Elephas maximus indicus: one gene and its partner. The protein of the gene in region 2 interacts with the protein of the main gene of each other region in a pairwise test. Links are inferred from orthologs where the notes say so. Each region holds a gene or a part of one and is shown on either strand. Other genes may lie near its edges. The genes, in order: RASA1 and DLC1.

Region 1 (8,803 bases), on a different chromosome or scaffold from region 2:
ATTTTATTCTAAATACATAATGATGAAAATCTCATACAATGGATTTCTCACAATTTTTCCTAAGTACTCATTCATGCTTATTAAAAATAATTTAGAACTACAATGGCCTAAATATGCCTACTTCAATTAAGTTGCAGAATAGGCATAAAGCTAGATTTCTTTGGTATGAAAAGTTACACGGTTTATTACAACCACAGTCTTGAGCACATACTAGGTACTTAATACTTAACTGATTTTTTTCAAAAAGGCCTGATGATGTGCAAGTAGTGCTGTAAGACCAGAATTTTTTTTATGACTTAAAACACAAATTTATTATTTGACAGTTTTGGAGGTCAAAAGTCCAAAACAGGCATCACTGGGCTAAAACAAAGTTGTCAGTAGGGCTGCATTCGTTTCTGGAGATTGTAGAGGAAAATCTATTTTATTGCCTTTTACTTGGCTATGGGCCTCCATTTTCAAGTAAGCAATGATTGGTTGAGAATTTCCCACATCACATCACTCTGACACTGACTCTTTTGTCCCCATTTCCATCTTTTAAGAATTCTTGTGATTACACTGGATAATTAAGGATAATCTTCCTATTTTAAGGTCGTCTGATTAGCAATCTTAATCCACCTGCAACTTTAATTCCCTCTTAGACTGTGGCAAAATACACTCACAGGTTTCAAGGATTTTAGGTTCAGAGCATCTTTCAGGGGCCATTATTCTGCCTACACAGTTGGGGGTCTTTTGAATCTAGAGATTAGTTTGGGGAAAACTGACATTTTAACAATACTGAGTCTTCCAATCCATAAATATGACATATCTCCATATTCATTTAGGTCTTTAATTTCTCTTAGTAATGTTTAGTAGTTTTCAACATAGAGGTCTTGTACCTCATTTGCTTAGATTTATTCCTGGGAATCTTATGTTTTTTGATGCTATTGTAACTAGTATTATCTTTTAAATTTCAGTTTTCTATTGTTTACTGCTTATACAGAAATACAATTGAGTTTTGTATTTTCTTTTTTTCATTGTACTTTAGACAGGTTTACAGAGCAAACTAGCTTCTCATTAAACAATTAATACACATATTGTTTTGTGACACTGGTTGCCAAACTCACAACATCTCAACACTCTCCCCTTCTAGACCTTGGGTTCCTCATTACCAGCTTTCCTGTCCCCTCCTGCCTTGTCCTTGCCCCTGGGCTGGTGTGCCCACTTAGTCTCATTTTGTTTTACGGTCCAGTCTAACCTTTGGCTGAAGGATGAACCTCAGGAGTGACTTCAGTACTGAATTACAACGGTGTCCGGGGGCCATATTCTCAGGGTTTCTCCAGTCTCTGTCAGACCAGTAAGTCTGGTTTTTTGTTTTGTTTTGTGAGTTTGAATTTTATCCTACATTGTTCTCCAGCTCTGTTCAGGATCCTCTCTTGTGCTCCCCGTAAGAGCAGTCAGTGGTGGTAGCTGGGCACTATCTAGTTGTACTGGACTCAGTCTGGTGGAGGTTATGGTAGTTGTAGTCTACCAGTTCTTTGGACTAATCTTTCCCTTGCGTCTTTGGTTTTCTTCATTCTCCCTTGCTCCAGATGGGATGAGATCAATCTAGCATCTTAGATGGCCGCTCATAAGCTTTTAAGACCCCAGACGCTACTCACCAAAGTAGAATGTAGTACATTTTCTTTGTAAACTATGTTATGCCAATTGAGCTAGATGTTCCTGGAGACCATGGTCCCCACAGTCCTCAGCCCAGTAATCTGGTCCCTCAGGGTAAAATTGGAATTTTTAATAAAGCCATAACCCCCTCCAAAAATATCTGCAATGCACAGACATAAGCCAGAATAAAATTACACAAAAAAAACTGAACTCTATGGAATAGTATAAAAGGAATATTCAACATTCTTATACCGTAACTGGCATAAATAAGACTAATTTACTTTTCCACCTTAAATATCAAAACATAATGCCTTAAGTCAAAAATAGATTGGTATTACAATATCTCTTGCTAATTTCTTTTTTTTTTTTTTTCTTCTTTCTAAATTCTCTGATGAAGGCTTTTGATTGTCCAGTGACTGTCATCATATGAACCAAATCTTTTTTCCTGGGATAATCATCAAATATTCTGAAATTCTGTCAATTAAACTGATGTGGGGAGTCTACAAAACAAGTTTTGTCAGCTATTACCATTTCCCATCTCAACATCTTGGTCTCATCAAGGTCCACCTTTTTAAACACATACCAAAGTCCACTTATGAAAATAACAAAGGGAAGGTACTAACAATAAAAAAAAAAAAAATCTGTCATATATATTCTACAGCAACTGTTAAAATTAATTTTCAAACAGGATATTGTATTGGCCACCAACAAAAAGTGCTGATAAGAAGCACTATTAATTTTGTTTTGCTTCAGTATTGTACTTACAGAATCTCAACTACAAAGGAATTACACTGGTAGTGACATATACTCTATGAAACAAGTTACAGACATCGTTGGAGTATGAAACCCTTAATCACACCTGGAATTCACAGAACTGCTTTCCTAATTCTCTCTGACCGCCTAAAAGATCCAGAGACTTTTCTATATCACTGTGTTTTCAGCAGACAAAAATTGGGATTTGCAGTTCAACAAAAACAAAGCCTTCTGACCAATGCATTCTCGAATGATGTTAACCCAATACTCAAATGCTCGTATTCAAAGCTTCTGGGAACACACACACAGGTTAACATAGTCAATGACTGCCTTGGTAGCTGCAAACTCAGCTGAATCCTGGGACACCACCTCAATTTAGAAGGAGCAGAACCATATCCGGTTCTCAATGAATACATATTTTTCCATGCTTCCCATCTTAAAAACTTTCCATCTTCCCAGAGGAGCAATAAATATACGAAGGCGCCAGGAGATACGATATACCTGTAAGGAAGATGGGTGATTATATTAAATCCCCGCACATGGAGCCTGAAACTTAAAAACTTTTTCCAGAACAAATCACAGGTGAAAGAACACCATACGTTTCCCCACTTTTACTCCCCACTTCTTTCCTGGAGGCCGCTTCCCGGGTCCCTCAACAGCAGTCTTGACTTACTGGTTAGTTGGGGGAGCGGTCAGGGGGATGGCCACCTCTTCTTCCTCATATTCTGGTCCATCCAGAGAGTCACCTTCGTCCACTGTCGCCAGGCTCGCGCCCAAAGTAGGCAGCTGAGGCGGCGGCGGCAGAGGGGGAAATCCGCCGCCTGGCCCTAGGGTCTCAGCAAGCAACGAAGCGGGCCCCTTGGTGAGAGCCATGTCCCCACCAGGGCCGGGGGCAGCTGCACCAGCCACACCAGCGGTAGCACCTCCCCCTGTCAGTCCGGCTCCCCCCAGTGTCCCCACCACAGACCCGGCTCCTAGGAACGCTGGCCCATATGAAGCTCCGCCACTCAGATTCCCGACCACTTCAGCCTCGGTCAGCCCAGGATAAGGGGCGGATGCCACAGGCAGGGCCGCAGGTATCTTCATCCGACACACAGCCGGATAGGCATTCGAGCCTGCCGCCGCGCCGCCGCCTCCTGCCCCGCCGGTCACCGGGCCGCCCTCCTCGCTGCCGGCCTCGGCCGCCATCATGTTGAAGCCCGCTCTACTCTGCCCTGCCCTGCCTGCCCGGGAGCCCCGGGGGCCACCAGGCCCGGGCTCCGAGTCGCCCCACCCAGGCGCGTTCCCCCTTCAGTTCCCCAGGCGGAGGAAACAACAACAAAAGGAGAGAGCCCGACGCCGCCGCGCCCCCTCCTCGGGCCACAGCCCAGGCTCTGGAGCTGCCCGGGTTACGGGAAGCGAAGTGGGCAAAAAATCCTACGCCTGCACAAACGCTGCCCAAACCTTCACTTTACACACCCACACGCACGCACACACACATGCAGAGAAGCGAAAAACTTCCTGGCTGCACTAAAGAGGAAGGGAAGCAAGGGGGAAGCGGCTGGGGCGGCTTCCACTGCTTCAGCCACTGCTGCCGCCGCCACCACCGCCTCTTCACCACCGGAGTTCCCGCCACCCCCACCAAAGCCACCGCCGGTGTTGCTGCTGGGGCTGGGGCCACTGTGGCCGCTTCATCCTCCACCGGGCTGGAGATGGGAGGGGTGGAGAGAGAATGAAGAAGGGGGGCGGGGTGCTGGGGAAATGAACTGAACTGCTCACAACCTAGAGCTCAGTGAAACCCAAGGAGAGAGAAAGGAAGGCGGGACAGGGGAGGAGGAACGGAGGGAAGGAAGGGCGGAGGAGGAGGGAGAGGGCAGTGTCTGCGCAGGCGCGTTCCCGGCGCGGGGGCGGGGGGAACGGGGCCTGGAGGGAGGAAAAGGAAGAGTCCGGAGGGAAGGAAGCGGCGGGGGCGCGCGGCGCGTGGCCTGGCTCGCTGTCCCGCTCTGTTTAGAGCGCGTGGCGGTACGACCGCTTCTTTGGGTGTCGCCGGCGGCGCGCGCCTGCCTCCCGGGGCTTTGTTTGATGGGCGGGTGGCCTGCGTAAGGGGCCTCGTGCCTACCAGAACGGCGGCGCAAGCCCAACTAACCCGTGGCGGTCCTCTCTGGTTGCAGGAGATAGGGTAAAGGAGGCGAGGCCCCTGAGCGCCTTGAAGACGGGAGAGATGAGAGGGACAAGGAGGCAGTGGAGAGGAAGGAATGAGAAAGGGAAAGGAAGGTGCCACAGAGCCAGTCCCTTACTTCCAGACCCGTGGATAAAACGGCCTTAGCCGGAGGCCCAGATAGCAGCCAGCTGTGGGGGTGGATGAGGGGCTTGTGATGCTGCTGCCAAGACCCAGGCTGTACCGTTAATTTTTTTTTTTTTTTTTTTTTGCATGATATAAATCACAGTACGACTATTACAAACTCAAAAAAAAAAAAAAAGACTTTCTGGTACCCAAAAGAAGGAAACAAATAAACAGGACCACGGCACTGGGTTTTTTTTGGTTTTATATGGGAATAACGGGAGCTTTGGTAGAAATAAATGTGGTTGTGAAGTCAGATGTCTACCAATATATGTTTTGTTTTTTTTAAAACACACAGACACGTACTTTCACCTGTGCCATTGCAAGTCTCGTGAGTACTAAGGAAGGGGTGTGGGAAGGAGGAGCCACAGCCGACACCAACCATGCTTTTCTCCTCACACTTGTGCAGAAAACTGCAGGGCATGGTGCATATGTGAGTTGACACAGCACCTTCAATAAGCCAAATGCCAGAGAGACCCTAAAGTATCAAAAAAAAAAAAAAGATAGATGTAATTTTAAAAATTATCAATTAACAAATCCCACCCTTAGTATGGCCAAAGAGAGAGGATTTGTTTTGCTTTTTGTACTAGAATGTATGTAAGCTGTGGTATGCATTCATGTATGTGATGGACTCATTTCCATTGTTTGAGATTACACTATTGGTGTACTGGGTTGGATGTTGTTACGTGCTGTCATTTCTCTATTTACAACGAAATTGCCTTGTCCTGGGCCATCCTCACAATCGGTGTTTTTGAGGCCATTGCTGCAGCCACTGTATCACTCCATCTCGTTGGGGTTCTTCCTCTTTTTTGCTCACCATCTACCTGGGTTGAGTAGTGTCCCCCCAAAAAATCATGTTCACCCAGAACCTGTGAATGTGCCCATATTTGGAAATAGGGTCTTTGCAGGTATAATCAGGATGAGGGTCCACTGCATGTGGGTAGGCCCTAAACCTAATATGACTGCTGCCCTTATAAAAAGAGGGAAATGTAGACACAGCCCATGTGACAATGGAGAGAGCCTGGAGTTATGTATCTACAAGCCAAGGAATGCCAAAGATTGCCAAAACCATCAAAAGCTAGGAGAGATAGCATGGCCTGCTGACATTTTTATTTCAGGCTTCTAGCCTCCAGAACTGTGAGTGAATTTCTATTGTGTTAAGCCATCCAGTTTGTGGTACCTTATTATGGCAGCCCTAGAAAACTAATGCGATTGATAACGTACCCATTTAGATTCATATATTGTTCTTGTCTTTTAGATTTGTACTGGATGGATCAACCTTGAATACCATTGAATATTGATTTTTGAGATCAATATTTTTTCTGATAAGGACAATCAAACCAGCATAGGAGCAGATTGTAGATGGGGGGCTGTAATAGAGGCCTGGGAAAAAGAGTAAAGATTGCTAAAAGAGGTGACAAGGTACACTCTGTACATTTACTTCAGAAGTTTGCGTAGGCCAGTTATCAAGTCAGTGATAAACTTGATTAAATAGTAGTTCTGAGAATTCCTAAATCGTTCTACCTCTTACCCAGTGTACCACCTGGGAGAATGAAGATGGACTAGTCAGTCACCAGAACTATAGTTACAGAACTATAGTTGTCAAAGTGACCTCAGACCAGCAATATCCAAGAAACTTGCTAGAAATGCATATTTTCAGACCCCTCTGAATCAGGCCCTCTGAACTGTGGGCCAGAGGGCTCAACAATCTATACTCCTTTAGTGAGTCTCCAAGTACCTGTTTGCTCAATTGAGTTTGAGAACCACTGCTCTAGAATATAGTATACTAATCAAGAAACCAAAAAAAAAAAAAACCCATTGCCATTGAGTCAATTCCAACTCAGCAACCCTATAGGGTAGAGTAGAACTGCGCCACACAGTTTCCAAGGAGCACCTAGTGGATTTGAATTGCCGACCTTTTGGTTAGCAGCCGTAGCTTAGCTTATCTAGTTTATGTTTAACTCTTAACCACTACGCCACTAATCAAGAAGGTGTGCAATACCTAAACACATTCTGAAAGAAAGAATGAACAAGAAAGCAGACTCAATGGCATTCATTAAGTGTATGGGTAAGAGCTGTAGGTGTTGGGTTACTAAATTCTATGCTAGCCCAGAAAGAAGGTTAGGAAATGAAAAAGAGCAGAATGAAGTAGTTTATAGTACTTAAGAGAATAATGAAGTACTACCGGTACTTATGGTGGTCCTCTGATAACATTTTTTTCTTTCTTTCTTTTTTTAATTTTAGAACCTCAGAAGAGACCATCGAAGTAACTACTCCAGCTATTGCCTAATGCATAAATTCCAAGTACAGCATCCCCAACAAGTTTTCATATAGCCTTGGCTTGAAGGCCTGCAGTGTGTTAGCATCTTTCTTAGTTATTTAGTACTGCTATAGTAGAAATAACGCAAGTAGGTGGCTTTAACAAACAGAGATTTATTTTCTCAAGTTTGGAAGGCTAACCTGCTGCCATCGAGTCAACTGGAAGACTAGAAGTCTGAAATCAGGGCAACAGCTCTAGGGGAAGACTTTCTCTGCTGGCTTTGGGAGAAGGTCATTATCTCTTCAGCTTCTATTCCTTGGCTTCTTGGTGATCTTTGTGTGGTGTAGCATCTATCTTCCTCCATCTCTCCTTGCTCACTTGTTTAATCTCTTTTTTATCTCAGAACAGATTGACTGAAGACACACTCTACACTAATCAAATCCTTACCAAACCCATTGCCATCGAGTGGATTCTCACTCACAGCAACCCTATAGAATAGAGTAGAGCTGCCCCATAGAATTTCAAAGGCTGTAAATCCTTATGGAAGCAGACTGCCACATCTTTCTCCTGTGGAGCAGCTGATGGGTTACCATTGGGTTAGCAGCCAAATGCTTAACCACTTTGCCACCAGGACTCCTTCCTAGACTAATACTGCCTAATTAACATAAGAAAAGCCATTCCCAAGTGGGATTATAACCACAATTGTAGAGGTTAGGATTTTGGGGGGGACACAATTCAATCCTAAACAGCATCCCACACCTCCAATGCGTTCACTTCAGTCACCACTATCAGTCAGTCAATATAAGGCATTGAACTGGCCAGTTAGCAGGTCTTGGTTACAACTGATCTGTAAGTGCTCACATACCGCCTATATTCAGCCCGAGAGCTTAGGTATAATTTGCAGAATTCCCCTTTTTGAAAATTCTTACACACTTAAAAGCCAATATTTAATGCAGTCTGACACCAATTATATACTGCGTTATGTTGCTTTCTAGTTATTTTTAGGCCCTGGTGGCGTAGTGGAAACCCTGGTGGCGTTGTGGTTAAGTGCTACAGCTGCTAACCAAAGGGCTGGCAGTTCGAATCTGCCAGGTGCTCCTTGGAAACTCTATGGGGCAGTTCTACCCTGTCCTATAGGGTCGCTAGGAGTTGGAATCGACTCGACGGCACTGGGTTTGGTTTATTTATTATTTTTTTTTGGTGGTGTAGTGGTTTGAGTGTTGGGCTGCTAACCAAAAGGTTGGCAGTTCAAATCTATCAGCCACTCCTTGGAAACCCTGTGGGATGATTCTACTCTGCCCTATAGGGTCGCTATGATTTTGAATCAACTCCACGACAACCTGCTTGGTTTTGGTTTTATTTACAAGACTAGACTGCAAAGGCATTCTATGGTCTATTCTACTGCCTATCCCAGTGCTAGGCATCTTTAAAACATTGCTTTGAAAAGATCTCCACCCTTTCAATAGATACTGGGTTAGATCAGCTCACATGTTTGGAAATCAATTTCTCAGCTAGTAGGAAGGACCTCCTATGTCTATTCATAAATCAACCTAGTATGGCTATCTTATCTAGCTTATGTTTAACTTTAGAATTAGCATTGTCCTTTTCATCCAAAGAGATTACCACACATTTTTGACAAGGTATCTTCAAAATATTTTATTTTTTTAAGAATATTTTGCAAAATATTCTGACCATCAGACAGATCTAGACTTTGAGGTTTACTATTTCTTATGCGGAAGCCCTGCCGATGTAGTGGTTAAGTGCTGTGGCTGTACACCCAAAATTCGGCAGTTCGGATCCACCAGGTGTTCCTTGGAAACTCTATAGGGCAGTAC
Region 2 (9,215 bases):
CAGTTTAATGACAAAACAGAAATACAAAGTCCCTCTCCCAAAGAAGTAAATGTTGGTTCTCTATATCCAGAACAAAGTCCATTCAGAGTTTGGCTTCTCTGAAAACCTGTTTGGTTCCTCTGCATGTAAAGATCCTATCATTCATTTGAGAAGGCAGGTCCAATATTCACTATTCACGCCACTTCCAAATCTAGTGGTTTTCACTGGTTCCTCATCCTCTTCGAATTCGCATGTTCAATTTTTGACATGTCTTTATTTTGCTAATAAATCCCTGATCCAGATCTAGGCCATCTTTCTCGTGAAAGCTTGCTGTGCTGTGTTAATTTCTACAAAGAGATTGTCACTGTAAGATAGTACTGACAGCGCTTCGTTCATTCTCCAAGAAACAGATAAAATAAAAACCAAAGGCAAATTTTAGATGACCCAATTTAGACTTATTTTAAGTCTATAAGACCTAACCCTCTATAAATAAGATTAAACTATGCCTAAAGTATTTGTAGCAGGCATATGGTATAAGAAGTTTTGGATAGGGCCAGAAAAATTCTCCTTTTTTGGTCTAATGGCTTTAATTAAAAATGAAATGTGTTGTCTTTTCAAGGTCCTGTAGGAATCATGCGATACACAGAGGCTTTGCTACATTAATTCCTCATTCCAGTAATGGTGACACTGGAAGTGTTGAATTGGGTATCTTTTAAGTGGTAACATCGGGAAACAGCCTCGTTCATGAATATGGGAGGAGAAAAAAAAGAAAAAAGAAAAAAGCATCATCACACACATTCCCCCTAAAGAAACAGCGTGCTTTGGAGATGGCAAACATTAGTTTTATGAGAAGGGCTATTGCCTTGGAAAGTGTAGTGTTTCAGCTTGCATAGCAGCCTATATTGTCATGGGTGAAATATGATTCAGATGAAATGCCCAACTCTCCCAAGCATTATTTAAATACTGTGACACATCCTATATTCTCCAACTACAGGACCTTGCAGAAGGCTCAGAATAGAGATACAAACCAATTACAGGATGGAAAATAAGCTGAAGAAGGGAAGGTGAGAGGAATGGGCTTATCTGACCTGGAAATATACCCTTGAGCAATCATGTGTCCATTTAGACTTTTTATATTTCCACTGAGGAAAAAACTCAAAAAACTGGAAATAAGCTGCAGCAATCACGATTTAGGTTAGATTAAAAAAAAAAGTCTGGATACATGAGGTTCTTAAACAGTTTCCAACGGGGAAAGGGCAGCAAAATCTCCTCTGAAAGTCACTGGTTGGGATGGCTTTATTATGATACCATTTGAATACAAGGATATGAATTAGTCAAACTCTCGTCTAGCCCTGTGTTTCTAAGAAACACCAGTTTAAAATTAATATAATTATTAGCACATGGAGCGATTTTCCTGGCACGAACATGAGATGTGACAGAACGATCACAAAACAAGTTATTCATTTACAGTGCTGGCTAAAGCCACAGTAAATATTTTTAAGAAAACTTGTGCATTTGAGAAAACTGTATTACTTAGTAAACTTGCTTTTTTTTTGAAACCTTGATTTTTTTGTTTCCCACGTAAGTAACACTAGTGGCAGCTTTAAACCTTTTTTTTTTGTTTTTAAGAGGCACTCCAATTTCTGTCTGCGAAGTAGCCTTTTCTCCTGGACACGCTCATACTTCATTTTGCACATTATCTGAGAGCAACACGCTGTGCTGTAGAGATGTCTGGACCATGAATTGGGGGACTGTGTTTCACTGTCCTCTCTTCACTAGCGAGTGGTATGATCTTGGACAGGTCACTTAAGAATGCCATTCCTCAGTCCCCTTGTCAGAAGCCTGAGGGCACTGTTGGAAAAGATGATCTCTTACGTTCTCTCCTTCCCCGAAATTCTCTTCAAGGATTTTATTAAGCTACACTGTAGATAAGTCAGTATATACATATATTTAACATTTATAGATACATCGATCCTTTTTCTCATGGATTGAAAGTTTCAACATGACAAATTGTTAGTGAACGGTTAAAACATATCAATATGTTATTCTAGCATAGATTTTAAGAATAAATTAACTTATCCAGTAAATGGCCACCCTGTACTATGTAAAAGCTCATCATTAAAACATTTGATTTTTTTATGACCCAGCTGTCAAAGTAGCTCTCCAACTTTCATTCAGTGTACTAACAGATGAGTTACTCTAACTGACTCGGTAATGTGCCTGAATCTTTGCTCCCTTTTACACCATTCCATGTTATGTCCAGAAAATAATGGTGTTTATTCTAAATATTTGAAGGTATAAATGTAACAATATGCTATGCATTGGTAGTCCATGCTATTTCAGTAATATAAAGTTTCTTTCCTCATATCTTGCATATTTAACCCTTTAAGGTAGATGTGGTGGCACCATAGTCCTTTAGACATGTAGTTTTATGGTTATATGAAGCATGGATGCTTGATCCATCTTTCATATGATTGTGGAGATTTCCGGCTGTCCTAAAACAGTAATAATGAACGGCATTGTCATTAAGGTTTACTTTCATCTTTCAAAAACATCCACAGAAAATACAACCTGATCAGTGAATTCAGAAAAGGAAATATATAAATTAAATAATAAGTGTGATATTTCAATTTCTGAAACTCAGATGAAATACTAGTTAGGGCAGAAATAAGTTCTGAAATTTCATGCATTTGTTACTTTTTTTTTTTAAGCTCTACACAAACAGCTTGACCTGTAGTTGAAACTGATATGCAGAGATATTGAGGAACCCAATAGTCATAATCGTAAATGCGACACAAATCAGCTGTCTTAGGAGATTCATTATTAAAGCAGTTACCCTACTAATATCTACTCTCCCTGTGGGCAAAAGACGGTTTAAAAAAAAAAAAATGGAATCTATTCACATCTCATCCCTACGTGTTAGAACATATATGCGTTACATTTTATCTCATGTGTTCGAAAAACTGCTCTTATAGCTCAATTAATAAATAAGTTAAGAATAAAAAGGGATCAAAATAAAATCTTACTTTATGGAGGAAAAGAGTAAAATCTATATGGAGGCTGTTTTAGAAATGACATTTTGCTAAAACTATTTGACTCACAGTTTTCTACTTAGTAAACATTTTTCACTTCTGATTTCATGGCTTAACTCAAAAACCTAGGAAGACACCCCTCGGGTCCAAGGTGCTAACATTTATCTCAGTCTTTCCACCTCTCCAACGATTACCTCCAAGTATAAAGACAGAGCCCAGCAGACCTTCTTACCTAGACAACGAGAAGCTGAGACGCCCAGGCAAGACACTGTTCAACACTCGGGCTATGAAAGAAGTCCGTCCCGTTAGTTTCTCCAGAATACAAGTTCACATTTCGTGGTTGAGATCATGGCTCTATTCTAAGCAGTTTTACGCAGTGTGTGATTCTAACCAAAACACCCTCCGCAGCTGGAGGGAGCCTTAGCTAAAGCAGGATTCTGTCAAGGCGTTCCTGGTGACTTCTGTCTACTCAATTCAGACTGATGTTTTGCGAAAGGGGCCTCCACAACCAGGCCCAGATTGCCTGGAAAGTATTTCCTGCCTCTGAGTAGTGTGTATGTGAGAAAGACTGCAGTTGGGGAGGGGAGCGAGAGAGAGCAGAGCCCGGCTGGGCGTTTTAGGAATTCTGATTTTACACAGAACTGAAGTGAGTTTGTCAAAGCTCTTGAGGTGATTAGCTGGAGAGTCATAAAGTCTTAGAGCTTTTTCTAGCCCACGTTGCTGATGAAAGAAAAAAAGAAAGAAAGAAAACACAGTTCTCTTCCCCAGCTACAACCTTTCCACTACATTCAATGCATATACACAGCTTAGCCAAAATACCTTTGCCAGTGCTCCTTTCAAAAGATCTTTTAAGAGAGCAAGATGAATGTAGAGTTTTAATACCGTAATTCTTCTAAATTTTAAAACCCTTTTCCCACTCCTTAAAACTTCAAAGTGCTGCTGCTCTACAGATAGCACCTGAGAAAATCTACAATTCCAAGAACCCAGTAAATCCAACGTTTTCTTCAAGATCTCTCCAATCCCAAATCGCTGTCACGAATCAAAGTGGTTGTGGGTTGTGGCATAAGCAGCTTTACCTCTAGTCAGAATCCTCCAGACTTACACAAATCCAGGGCTGGAAAGGCAGGAGACAGACTCCATCTTGATCATATTAGAATCCTGCTGACATTAAATACTTTGCGACTGCTTCCACCTAACACGACAGAGTCTCTGAATCACGTCTCTAAAGCAGCTCACGGTACCAACACCCTATGCCCGACACGATTTTTGTGAACATCATCTGTTTATCTTTTCTGCTTTCTCGTGCCTCCACTGAATGACTTCCTCCTAGCTGCTCCACGCTGGGAACTTGGACTACCATTTGGTTTTGATTAAAACCAGACAGCCAACTCCGGAGAATTTAGGGAATAAGCTAATGGAAACTGCAAGTATGGCTTTAATTAGTGCATCAATTAATAATAGATGTTAGCTCCTCTTGTAATAAAATGTCACAAATACAAAAGCAGAGGAAGCGTGAGCCGTTTCAGGGAAGAAGTCACAACCATTCTCATTCCCTTATGACCCAGCGTACTCCTTAGGCAAAGTGGAAGGAGAGCAGAGGGACATGGCCTTGGGACATCCAGTTTGTAGAGAGGTCAGTGGGGGGACTTCTTTGTTTAGACCGGAGAAGCGGAGAACAGTGTCTCTGAGTTTAATTATCTTGCTGAGTTTAAATTGCTCTGTAATTTTCCCCTTCTACTTTATTTACAATCAACAGTCTACTGTTATGTATGGCTGAAACATTTTTTTCAGGGATTGGTGATCACCAATCCAATTATTGGGTCTGTCCCTAAATTCCTAGGGATTTTCAATAATAGGAGGGACAAGGACAATTCCAGCTCAAGTATGATAAATGGGTAACACTCAAAGACAGACAAGAAACATTAAACCTATTGGCCCTAAGATCTTTCCTGCACTTCTTTGAAATTTAAGTAGCTTTCATGTTCACTTTTATTCCCAGTTGGCTCTAATTTCTGTAAATGTTGGCAGATATCTGAATAGGACTGAGCCATCTCCTCAGTACACCCTGAGAATGTTGGGTAGGTGATAACTTAAAGAAGTATGGCCTTATAGCTACTACCTCCCTTCTTAATGAATAATTAAATTCTCCCAAAATCAGTGCAGGGCACGGACAACTTTACAGATATGTTAAATGGCAAATAATAATAATGATTTATATGGCACATGAATTTGAAGGTGAGAAGTATTCAAATAAAAACATGACGGCAGAAGCAGTTTCTCAAAGCTTAGACCATAACATCACTGATCAGAAAAATGGCTGTTTAGAGTCCCTTTAACTTTCAAATGTATGCCAAGAAGGAAGTACATTCTTTCATAAATTCTTTGAAGGATTATTTATGTTCATATTCAAAGTACTTCCTCCAACACCATGCCCATTTAATCTTTGCACGCATTCCCATTTTACAGATAAAGAATTATAAATTTGTAGAAGTAATTTTCTTACGGACAAATGATGGAATGTGGCCAAGGTCAGATTGCAACTCAGGTCTTCTACGTTTTGTGCTTCTTTTCCCCCTGTAACAGTTCTGCCTCTCTTGGCTTCTGGCTTAATTGTTGTGTGAAGTTGGGAAGACGTCTTAAACTTTCTGAGTTTCAGATTCTTCTTTAACCATAGGGACAATTCTACATAACTCACAGATTAGAGACAATTAAATTCATATCCACATATATTTACATGTTTGTACTTGTTTTCCTAAGAAAAATACTAGAGTGGCGTGGAATGAGAATTGATGGAACTTCTTCCTAAAATAATTTATGTATCTCTATATTTGTCTCTGGAGCCCCGGTTGCATAGTGGTTAAGAGCTTGGCTGCTAACGAAAGCACAGCAGTTTGAATCCACAAGGTGCTCCCTGGAAACTCTATGGGGCAGTTCGACACTGTCCTATAGGGTTGCTATGAGTTGGACTCTACTCGAGGGTAACGGGTTTTTTTTTTTTTGCCTCTAGTCCTGGTGTATAGTAGGAACTCAATCAATATCAGTCGCCTGCTGATGCTGTTTAGCTAGGTTCTCCTGATGAATAGTATAACCTTTCTCCACTTACACAACTTAGCTTTGTTTCTGTTTATCCTGGTCTGAGGAAACATCAAAACCCTGTTCACATACAGTTATAAAATACCTTTTTTAGATATCCAGATACTCTTTATTAGTCAGTTTCTTTTCTCTAATCAAGGAAGATGCCATGTTTTATTCTACGCTGAGAAGGATTACTTCCTCAATCTTTAATCACTCATTTATTTTTCATCTTTCAGTTGCTTGACTCCAGACAAATCCCAGAACTTACACACTCATAAAGGCTTTACCAAATATGAGTATAAAGATAAATAATGAGATGACTTCCTTAATTCTTATCACAGTGTCAGGCACATGAAAGAGCTCCGAAGTATCTGTCCCCTTCTCCTTTTATTTGTAAATCTAAATACCTTACTCCAGCAAAGGTGTGCCTATTACTCCAAGCCCCATCGGCTAATAAAGTATGCTATCGAGGCAGTTAAGAACTTGAAAACAGAACATCCAGATAGACATCTGGCTCCAGGCTAGCATCCCATGTGACTCTGTGCAAATTTCTTAACCTCTAGAAGCTTCAGTTTTAGCCTGTGTAACTAAGTTTTTTTTTTTTTTTTGCTTTCAAAATTACAGAAGATAGTTACATAAAGCCTTAAGACTTTCTGACTAGTGCAGCGTTCAAGGTTAAAAACAGTTGCCCTTAACCTGATTCCAACTCACGGCTACCCCGTGGGTATCAAAGCAGAGCTGTGCTCCATAGGCTTTTCAAGGACTGATTTCTTCAAAAATGGATCACTGGGGTTTTCTTCCGAGGCACCTCTGAGTGAAATCAAACCTCCAGCCTTTCCGTGAGCACCCGAGAATGTGAACTGCACCACGTAGGGGTGTTTCCGCGGCGGTCAGTGTTAGGTACTATTATTTTTATCATTTAAATAATTGTACATTGTGATCCTGCTCTCTTCTGTGATATTTTTAGTATCTATTTATCTATCTAACTACCCGCCTATTGACCCCTGAGTTGAATGTATACGTGTAGAACAATTTTGCTAGTGGAGCAGTCACATGCTCTGTGGGAAGAGAAGGGACTGGCGTAAGGAAGATTCAGAGTTATTTTGAAGATCAACTGTCTTCTCACGTACCATGATCTAAGCAATAAACACTGTCTGTGATAGTCTAGGAAACCCTGGTGGCGTGGTGGTTAAGTGCTACGGCTGCTAACCGAAAGGCTGGTGGTTCTAATCCAACAGGTGCTCCTTGGAAGCTCTGCGAGGCCGTTCTACTCTGTCCTGTAGGGTTGCTAAGAGTCGGAACCAACTTGACAGCAACGGGTTTGGTTTTGGTTTATGAGAGTCTATCCAGTAATTCCTCAATTATTTTCAGGAAATCTGAATCTGGACTTCTTTAACAGAATTGTTCAATGACTTCAATGCAGTCCAATAATCCTTTGACTGCAAAGTGAGATCAATCTTTGAAAGTGATGTTTTACTCTTTCACAAATTCATCAATAATTTCAGTACCTACATTTGACATTTCCAGTCTCTTCAGTGAAGTAGGCTTCTATTCTTATTCTTTATATTTTTATGATGGGTTAGTTTCATGATAGTAATGAATTTGTAATTAATATGTAGAGAGAACAAAAGCCTTCAAAGCACTTTAGAAATGTCCACGCATGTACAGCTGGTGAAACAAATGTAGGAGGGCTTTGTCTGTGAACATTGATCATCTACAAATTCCTATTTAATGGCACTTAGCTTCTATTTTATTGGAGTTATCACATGTATGTCAAAGCAATAAAAATATAATTCATTTGACAGCATTTCTAGTAATTTTTCAGTAGCTTCAACATGAACTTTCATCCAGTAAGTTGATCTTGATAGGCACACACACAGAGGTAGAAAAAAATGACCATACAACTGTATTGTTTATAGTTAATAATCTGCTTATGTATTATTAGTCTTTCTAATCAACAGTATTAAAGTTTTGACACACCACTTTTTCTAGCCATTTAGTATTCATCTGAGAGTATTTATCAAAGGAACACAATTATGTAAGTTTGATGTTAAACTAACCAAGTTAGCAAAATTACTGAAACTCCCAAAACCAATTATACCTGTTTCTTGGATTATTATATTCCTTGCTTTGCTTCGCGGAAAATTATTACAATCCAGAAATGATTACAAAGAAAAAAAAAAACTTTGATAAATTTCCAATTGCTTTGAAAGAATATACTTAGCAAAAAGAAAAAGAAAAAAATTCTATTCGCAGAAAGTTACTTGAATATATATGACCTTAGAAGCTGATGGCTCTCGCTGCCTGTCCACAACGGCTAGGTTACTCTCAGAAACATGAAGATGACAAGTCATGCAAGGCTGGTTCCATTATCGAGAGGTCTGGGGTGCCCATCTAGTAGAGGGCTAGCTCGTATCGTACAATCATTCTGTATGAAAACTGAAGCTAACATCACCGTATGTCTCACTCCAGTCATATTTGCTAAGCTTTACCATAGTGTTCCCTGACATTCTCATATCATGGCTCGAAAATATTCCTACATCTTTAGTCAACTCAAAAAATGTTCCTCCTCACATTTGGCTTGAGCCCACACTCCGTCTGGCTTCTCCTGTAGCTTTTCAAATGGCGGCTGAATATTCTCTCCTAACCTTGTGCTCACCTGGGAAAACAGGTGAGATTGCCTATGTCCAGACTCCTCAATGCTGGGTCCAGATGCTCTCTCCTCAGTCAGATCTCCGCTCCAACCACATCCCTGCCCTTTGATGGTCATTCTGCCTGTCTCCTTAACAAGTGCTCTATCTACTATAAAGAATGGAGCAGCATTCTCAGCCTATCATCAGAAGGCCACACAGTTGGTACAAAGGCTTATATCCTTGAAAGAATGTCTGTTCCATTTCTGTTAAAATGTAAATATATATTTGTATTTTTCCCTTTAAAATGGAACCACTGGAGACCTTCAGAATACAAAAACATGCTTAGTATCCATTCACACATATACATTGTATAGTTACTGTTCTGAAGGCAATGTTGGTTCAATGATAAGAGTTCTCACCTTCTATGCAGGAGCCCTGGTGATGCAGTGGTTAAGTGCTACAGCTGCTCACCAAAAGGTGGGCAGTTCAAATCACC

What was found.
Region 1: the proteins of DLC1 (region 2) and RASA1 interact in binary tests that used the Homo sapiens proteins (3 or more experiments, as listed by UniProt). The link is inferred for Elephas maximus indicus from reciprocal best matches to the Homo sapiens genes DLC1 and RASA1.

What each region holds. Positions count from the first base shown.
Region 1 is NC_064820.1:93,611,834-93,620,636, reverse strand, and holds the start of RASA1 (ras GTPase-activating protein 1), read right to left. Parts: upstream 4,196-8,803; 5' UTR 3,580-4,195; coding exon 3,062-3,579; intron 1-3,061. UniProt on the Homo sapiens protein: Inhibitory regulator of the Ras-cyclic AMP pathway. Stimulates the GTPase of normal but not oncogenic Ras p21; this stimulation may be further increased in the presence of NCK1.
Region 2 is NC_064840.1:73,076,628-73,085,842, forward strand, and holds the start of DLC1 (rho GTPase-activating protein 7), read right to left. Parts: upstream 4,294-9,215; 5' UTR 4,088-4,293; intron 3,647-4,087; exon of another isoform or gene 3,244-3,646; intron 1-3,243. UniProt on the Homo sapiens protein: Functions as a GTPase-activating protein for the small GTPases RHOA, RHOB, RHOC and CDC42, terminating their downstream signaling.